Nothobranchius furzeri: one gene and its partner. The main gene of each other region encodes a partner of the protein of the gene in region 2 in a complex. Links are inferred from orthologs where the notes say so. Each region holds a gene or a part of one and is shown on either strand. Other genes may lie near its edges.

Evidence for each region.
Region 1: chd5 (region 2) and mta1 share a complex: the UniProt entries of both Homo sapiens proteins name them as parts of the nucleosome remodeling and deacetylase (NuRD) repressor complex. The link is inferred for Nothobranchius furzeri from reciprocal best matches to the Homo sapiens genes CHD5 and MTA1.

The regions. Positions count from the first base shown.
Region 1 is NC_091758.1:21,721,459-21,725,283, reverse strand, and holds part of mta1 (metastasis-associated protein MTA1), read left to right. Parts: intron 1-35; coding exon 36-125; intron 126-248; coding exon 249-404; intron 405-3,825. UniProt on the Homo sapiens protein: Transcriptional coregulator which can act as both a transcriptional corepressor and coactivator. Acts as a component of the histone deacetylase NuRD complex which participates in the remodeling of chromatin.
Region 2 is NC_091743.1:75,305,035-75,308,859, forward strand, and holds part of chd5 (chromodomain-helicase-DNA-binding protein 5), read left to right. Parts: intron 1-2,512; coding exon 2,513-2,731; intron 2,732-2,855; coding exon 2,856-3,062; intron 3,063-3,825. UniProt on the Homo sapiens protein: ATP-dependent chromatin-remodeling factor that binds DNA through histones and regulates gene transcription. May specifically recognize and bind trimethylated 'Lys-27' (H3K27me3) and non-methylated 'Lys-4' of histone H3.

The DNA of each region.
Region 1 (3,825 bases), on a different chromosome or scaffold from region 2:
ATCACTTACTGTATTTTATCACTGACTGTCGCTAGGTGCCCTGCGGTTACCAGATAAGCCAAAAAAGACTCTGCAACAAAAACCCATGGAGCGTAAACCTCTGGAGTCTGTGGTCCGGTACTTAGGTAAGAAGAAACCACGCACCTGGTGAATCTGGAGGTGCTTTTTATTATCAAGTGATTTTTATTTGCTGATTTGGACAGATTTAGTCTAATCAGCAAGATGAAATCGTTTGTCTAACTTTACAGAAGCACATCCCCGTCCACCCAAGCCCGTACCCCTGACCCGAGGATGCTCCATCTCCACAGGCAGCTTGATGCCCATAAAGCCGTCCCCCATCCTCAACAACGGCTCCCCCACCATCCTAGGCAAACGCACCTATGAGCAGCACAACGGACTGGATGGTCAGTGGAACAGAGAGCTCCTGTTACAGCTCTACCGCACTCGTTATGTTTGCTAATATGTCCCGAAATAATCTAAATTACTTCACTTAATGCTGACTGGAGAAACTTAAGTTTTATTCATGCCATAATTAAAGGTATTTTCATAATTCTTAACTTAATGCTTAAATGTGGAAACTTGAACGTGAATCAAGTTTTTATTTGAGCTTTTGTCCCACTTTCCCTCTGAAATGAGACAGGGTAGAGAGAGAAAAGGTGAGGATGTGTTGGAGAAAGATGGAGAGGAGGAGATTGGAGCACCCTTGCTGCTTTAGCTGAAGACTGTTGTCATGGTAACATGGCAGCAAGGGAAAGATGAAGATGGCTGGGTTCCCTGAGGGAGGGATGGAAAGAGTACTAAAATTTCCTACTTAAGTACGAGTACCAATACTTGGATAATTTTTTACTCAAGTACAAGTAAAAAGTATCGTAAATAAAATGTACTCAAAGTAAAAGTTACTTGGTTACATTTTTGTCAGCGTGAAGATGGCTACATCGGTGCAAAATCACAACACCAGTTCACAACACGCTCGTGTCACGTACACACACTCACTGTTTGATGGAAGGGTTTCTATCCAATCAGTGAGAACGGGACGTGCACATTGATTGGACGAGGTTTTTCTAGGATTGTATTTGTATTAGGATTTGTGTTTAAAAATCTTTATTTTGAAAAAATAAAGAGTTTTTTTTAGCTCCCATCAGCATGTGAGGTATCTCAATGTTCTCATGACAAAAGTAACATGAGACTGTGCTCTAACCTGTCACATAACATAACAAGCTAAATAAAATTCGAACATTTCAAATGGACTGTATGACAGCCGCTAACGTTGGCCCTGCCCTACTTTACCTCTACATTACAGTTCCTTTATCTATGTCCATCCTAGAGCTCCTCTCTGACCTTCATGCTTATTTAGAGCAGCTGATTTTTAAAGTTAGAGTTCATCCTTGGTAGTGGGTTCACTCACTCATTTAACCCTTCACCACTGAAATCGGTTTGTTCATTCCAATCCTCCTAAATAATCCTCCAATCATCCAACTGGAATCCTTAAAGCTGGGCGTACACTGTGCGACTTTTTCACTTTTTTGAGCCGATTTTCCAGTCGTGCGAGAAGCCACGACATCGGGGCGAGTTTTGCGCCGAGCGGTCGTGTAGTGTACAGGGGGTTACGAGAGGCGATTAACACCACGTGACCAGCCGCCGATCAGCAGTCGTGAGGTCGCAGGGACTTCTGGTGTGTTTAATATTTCGCTCGTCCCTCGTGAGGGTATCGCACTGTTGAAGCGGCGCTGCGAGCAGCTACGATCCAAAAAGTATCAGAACCGCTCACGGCGCATGCGCGCGCAATCCTGCATCAACGCCGGCCGGTCGCTCGCTATTTCCCTAATAACACACGCTGTTCGTTTTTGTTTCTACACGTTTTTTTTACTCACAGAGATTGTCAAGAAAGCGTGTTTGTCGTGTTCATGTCAAATTAAACTGATCACAAAACACAGATTTACTCTCTTTATTTCGTTTTCCTCATCCAACCCCCATAAATCCCTGTGTGTCCTCCTGCAGCACTCCCGAAGGACAACAGGCAAGACAAAAAAGTCTGACGTGTTGAGTAAAAACTGCTATTTTTAGCACATTTTTAGGGCCGACGTGTTGCTACCAGACGTACAGTGTGAGCAGTCAGGTCGCATGCGAGAACAGGGTCGTACAGTGTGAGCACACGACTCGTGAGATCTGCCCTGCGAGGAAGTCGTACAGTTTGAGCTGAAGCTGAACGCTGCGAGTGAAAAAGTCGCACAGTGTACGCCCGGCTTAAGGGTCCCGTAACGTCCATCCTGTCAGAGCAGGCCTTGGGAGCCCAGGTGTTACTAGAACTAACGGTGTCTCCTCACCAGCGTGAGCCTCCAAACTGTGAAGGTTGGTCTCCAAACATGAACTTTAAATTCATGCATTTATCTCCTCTTGTAACACTTTAACATGTTTTAAAAGGCTTGTATCATGATATGGTACACCTCCCAGACCAAAGAAAAGTCCAATATAAGATAATTATCATAAATACTGCAGAGACGTCATTATTTATGAAATACAAGTTATTTTGTTCACCATTACTTCAGCCAAGAAATAAGATGCATGGATTTGATGAAACCATGCTGTCTTATGCAATCCTAAATGTGTAACACACACACACACACACACACACACACACACACACTGCAGCATGTTAGAATCATTTCAATGACTAATTTAACTACATTGAACTGCTTTTGTAATAATTTAATCTCTTATTCTGGAGTAAAATAAAGAAACAAGCTAAATCATCACATATCTGTGGCATCAAGGAGCATATTCTGAGTTCAAACACAGAGATGGAGCACAACGTTTACACCTGAACAGTGTCAGGATGTTTTAACTCAGAGGCCTGCAGGTCTTCTGTTTTATGAGCAAAGCTCTGAGAATCCGTTTGTTATGAGCGCTAAACGTTATTTTGCCACTACTGTGCGGAGCGGTTGGGGAAACACATTTCAAACACGGAACCGAGTCCAGCTACCGAACCGAGCAGAATTCTGATGACGTAACACCGGTGCGCGAAGGTGCGGGTTCCAACCTACGAGAGGAGGGAGAGAGCGAGTGGATCACAGGGGCTGAACTGATGTTTTTGAGCAAAGTGTACACCCACACCCCCACGGTTTAGACGCGGTGCTCATGCAGGCGTCTCTTTCTGTTCCGACGCTGCTACATGCAATGTTTTTAATTTATTAAGCCTATAATTTGTTTTTACTTAGTAACGGTTATGATTTAAAATGTAGTGAATACAATTCTTTTTAAAAAACATACTCAAGTAAAAGTACAGCTTTTAAAAATGACTTAAAAAGTATAAACACAAAAAAAGCTACTCAATTACAGTAACGTGAGTAAATGTAATTTGTTACTTTCCACCTCTGGTGTTTGGCAATTTTGTGAATACATCTAAAACTATAGAAGCCATTTAAAGAGCATTTCCCAGTCAAAATGTATTTAAAACAGTACAAAACCTTTCAATTGTTATGTTGTGTTATGATTCTTTTTCCAAACAATCCAACAAAATATTTCTTATAAAATAAATGAAGTAGAAGATATTTTAAATCATTTACAAGCTAAATGTGATGAAAAACAAAATTCCAATGATTTAGCAGATCAAAGGGATCTACTTACGTTAGCGGAGTGTGTGCTGGAATAGGAACATGTGTTGTTTGTTATTGCATTGTTATTATTCATAGAACTATGTTTATTTACATGTCTAAAGGGGCAGCAGTAGCTCAGGAGGTAGAGCAGGTTTCCTCATGATCGGAGGGTCATGGGTTCCATTCCAGCGCCCACCAGGGGTATTCTGCTGTTGTGTCCTTGGGCAAGGCA
Region 2 (3,825 bases):
AAAGTCTCTGGTACGACCTGACCATGGATTTGAACCCACGATCCCCCAGTTCCAGGGTGGACATTACCACTCGGTCACTGAGCTGGTAACCCAGAAACTGGCATATTATGTCACTGCCTGCATGCTCATTTATTAAGACAATGCTTTGGGGCAACATCCTGGATGAGCAGAATGTTGGTGATGCAAGTAGAGGAATATGTAGCCCTTTGGAATAATACAGGTAGACAGGATATTTCATCTGCACCATCCTCTGTCTGCTAGTACTGAATCATTATTTAGATGTGGTCCTAAATGTCTTGTTTTGTATTTATCTCATCATTCATTGCACCCATTTTTTCTTGCATCTCGTGAGCATCATTGTTAGCAGTATATAAGCTCTTGATTTCCTGGATGAAAGCTGAGATTGGTGTTTGGGTCCAGTCTAATCAGCAAGTGTCGTTTCAGACTTAATTTGAGTACAAAGTGACATATCCATCGATCCATCCATCCATCCATTTATTTTCTGAACCCGCTTGTCCATGTAGGGTCGCGGGGGGCTGGTGCCTATCTCCAGCGGTCAATGGGCAAGTAGGCGGGGTACACTCTGGACAAAGAGCCAGTCCATCCCAGGGCAACACAGAGACACACAGGACAAACAATGAAGCATGCACACACACACTCAGGACAATTTAGAGAGACCAGTCAACCTGACTATCGTGTTTTTGTGGGAGGAAGCCGGAGTACCCGGAGAGAACCCACGCATGCACAGGGAGAACATGCAAACTCCATGCAGAAAGATCCCAGGCCGGGAAGCGAACCCGGGACCTTCTTGCTGCAAGGCAACAGCTCTAACCACTGCGCCACTGCGCAGCCCTCAAAGTGACATAAATAATGTTAATTCATTGTTTTTAAAGGCATGGGACTCAGAGAAATCATGTAATAATCGTTCTTTATGAAATTCAGTCGGTCACTCTGAGTTTCACATGCACGCTGAATGTGAAAACATTCTCCAGCCCCCAATTCTTGCATTAGCTGCAAAAAGGAAACTGACAATTAAACGATTGGGTCAGAAAAAGCCAGTCTCTTACATGTCACGGGGGAAATTCATGGCCCCGCCTTGGCTTAGGACTGCCCCCAGGAAGGAGAGAGCAAAGTCCATCCTGACTATCCATCCATCCATTTTCTGAACCCACTTTGTCCACGCAGGGTCGCGCGCCGGGGGGTGGGGGGGGGGCTATCTCCAGCGGTCAACGGGCAATCGGGTGGGGTACACCCTGTACAGAGAGCCAGTCCATTGCAGAGCAACACAGAGACACACAGGACAATCGATCAAGCACACACACACTCACACCTAAGGACAATTTAGACAGACCAATCAACCTAACAGTCATGTTTTTGGACTGTGGGAGGAAGCCGGAGTACCCGGAGAGAACCCACATATGCACAGGGAGAACATGCAAACTCCATGCAGAAAGATCCCAGGCTGGGAAGCGAACCCAGGACCTTCTTGCTACAAGGCAACAGCTCTAACCACTGTGCCACTGCGCAGCCCCGTCCTGACTAGCAGAAGCTAACTGTTAGCATTAACAAATCCACAACATAGCGTCACATGTTAATGCTTGTGATGTTTGTGGAGATAAAACATCAATGTTGCACTTTTTACCCAAGAAAGACGAGCGACTGGAAGCAGCAGAACAGTCCTGTTGCTGTCAGCCAATCAGAGGCCAGTAACGGCCAAAATCTAGACGTTTAGCCCACCACCTTATTTAGATGCTGGAATGTCATTAATAACGTGAGCTGATGCACTAAATGTCTGCAGCTGAATCTGTTTTTGAACACTAAATTAAAGTTAAAGCACTGGTCAATGTTTAAATCAGACATCCAACTAAAGTCAAACAAATCAATTACCCAACCAACAATTAATTATTCTCAACGGGTTCTTACAAATAAATTGTAGTTAAATATTAATGTTAGAACATTTCAGATGTTATTCAGGAACATAAATATACCTTTAAATTCTGCAGCAGCTCCAGGCTGCCCTGGGATATGCCTGACTTTAAATCGACTTTACTAAGGAGGAATGTCGGCCGATGCCGATTATATAAAAATATCAGATATCGGCCAGCTGATACATCGCTCTGCTCCTAGTTAAAACATTGTTAAGAGGCATGAAGATTGTCTAGAAGCTAGCTTGTTTTGTAGATTTGCTGCAGCCAGCTGTCTAGATCAGACCGGTTTTCTCCATGAAGGTTTTTGTCACCAAAGAAGTTTACCCTCGTCAGAGCAAACAGTTGCCGGCTGTTTCACGAGATATTTAACGCTTGAATGAATTTGTGAAACAGACCGTGCTCTAGAACGTTTGACTTGAGCACAAAAAATCCTCCAAGCTTTGTTTAAAAAATGCACTTTAATATTTTCATGGAGCAATAAAAATAGCTTATCTAGACAAAGTTATGTTGGCGCCGCTTTATTTAGTGGCTTTCCTCACGAGAAGGAACGTGTTGCATTTTGTTTTGTAACCTTTTATCTTCAGGAGAAGGAGGGAATTCAGTGGGAGGCCAAGGATGAGGAGGAGGAGGAAGAGGAGGCTGCAGGTGAGGAGGAGGATGACCACATGGAGTTTTGCAGAGTGTGTAAAGATGGAGGAGAGCTCCTGTGCTGTGACACGTGCCCTTCGTCCTACCACATCCACTGCCTGAACCCACCTCTTCCTGAGATCCCAAACGGGGAATGGCTGTGTCCTCGCTGCATGGTGAGCTCAGTCCAGATATGTTTAATGCTCTGTATCCTCACAAGCTGGTGTTCATCAACGTTTAGTCCTTTTTTGCTTTGGTTAAGTGGTTTAAACAACATGCATTACTTCTGTTCTTGCTCAGTGTCCTCCTCTCAAAGGAAAAGTTCAGAAGATTCTGCACTGGAGGTGGGGAGACCCTCCGCTGCCGTCGGAATCTCCTGCACATCCTGTTGGCAAGCTGCCTGATCCCATGGCCAAGCCCCCCCTCAAGGGCCGCCCAGAGAGGGAGTTCTTTGTAAAGTGGGCTGGCCTGTCGTACTGGCACTGCTCCTGGGTCAGCGAGCTGCAGGTGAGACGCCAGAGGTGGAGCCGGTTTCCAAAACCAGCATTTAGCAACAGTAACGATCTGTCTTCTGTGATGAATGTGGGACACAGGAAAGTCGGGGGGTTACTGAACATTATTTGGTATTTTAGGTTTTCACAAAAACAAACATCTAGTTTCAGGAGCAAAAGTTACTCAGTTTAGTCACTGACTGTCCTATTTCCAAAGTAGAATGCAATACAATTTCTCTAAAAAATATCATTTTCTAATGAATCTGTTAAGGGCATACTATGCACATTTTTCACATTTTAGGCATTTTCTTGAGCCAGTATGTGCTAAAATGACCCTTTACAGGGTTAATGAAAGGCCATGCTGACCCCCATGCCCTCTGTGGCCAGAATGCTGCCGTGCAACCTCAGAGTATCTGGACCGGTCTGTTATGGGCCATTCCCATCTGTACCGGGTCGGCCCGGGCTGGGTAGCCCCAGTCGGCCCCAGCCTGGCCCGGTTGATTCCACACATCCTTGTCTTAAGCCCATGTGGGCTGATTCTACCCACCAATCAGAGGCTTGCTCTAATGGAAGGTGTGGATTTACTGTCAGCAGTGGGTGTGTTGGCCCTGGTCGGCCTGAAGCAGACCCCCTCGAGAAGAGGGCTGAGAATGAGCCTTGGTTGGCCCGGAAAAATACCAGGCCGCCCAGATGTGTAAACAACCTACGCTACCCGGCCCGGGCCGACCCGGTACAGATGGGAATGGCCCATAAGTCAGTAGTAAAGTGGAGCTGACACG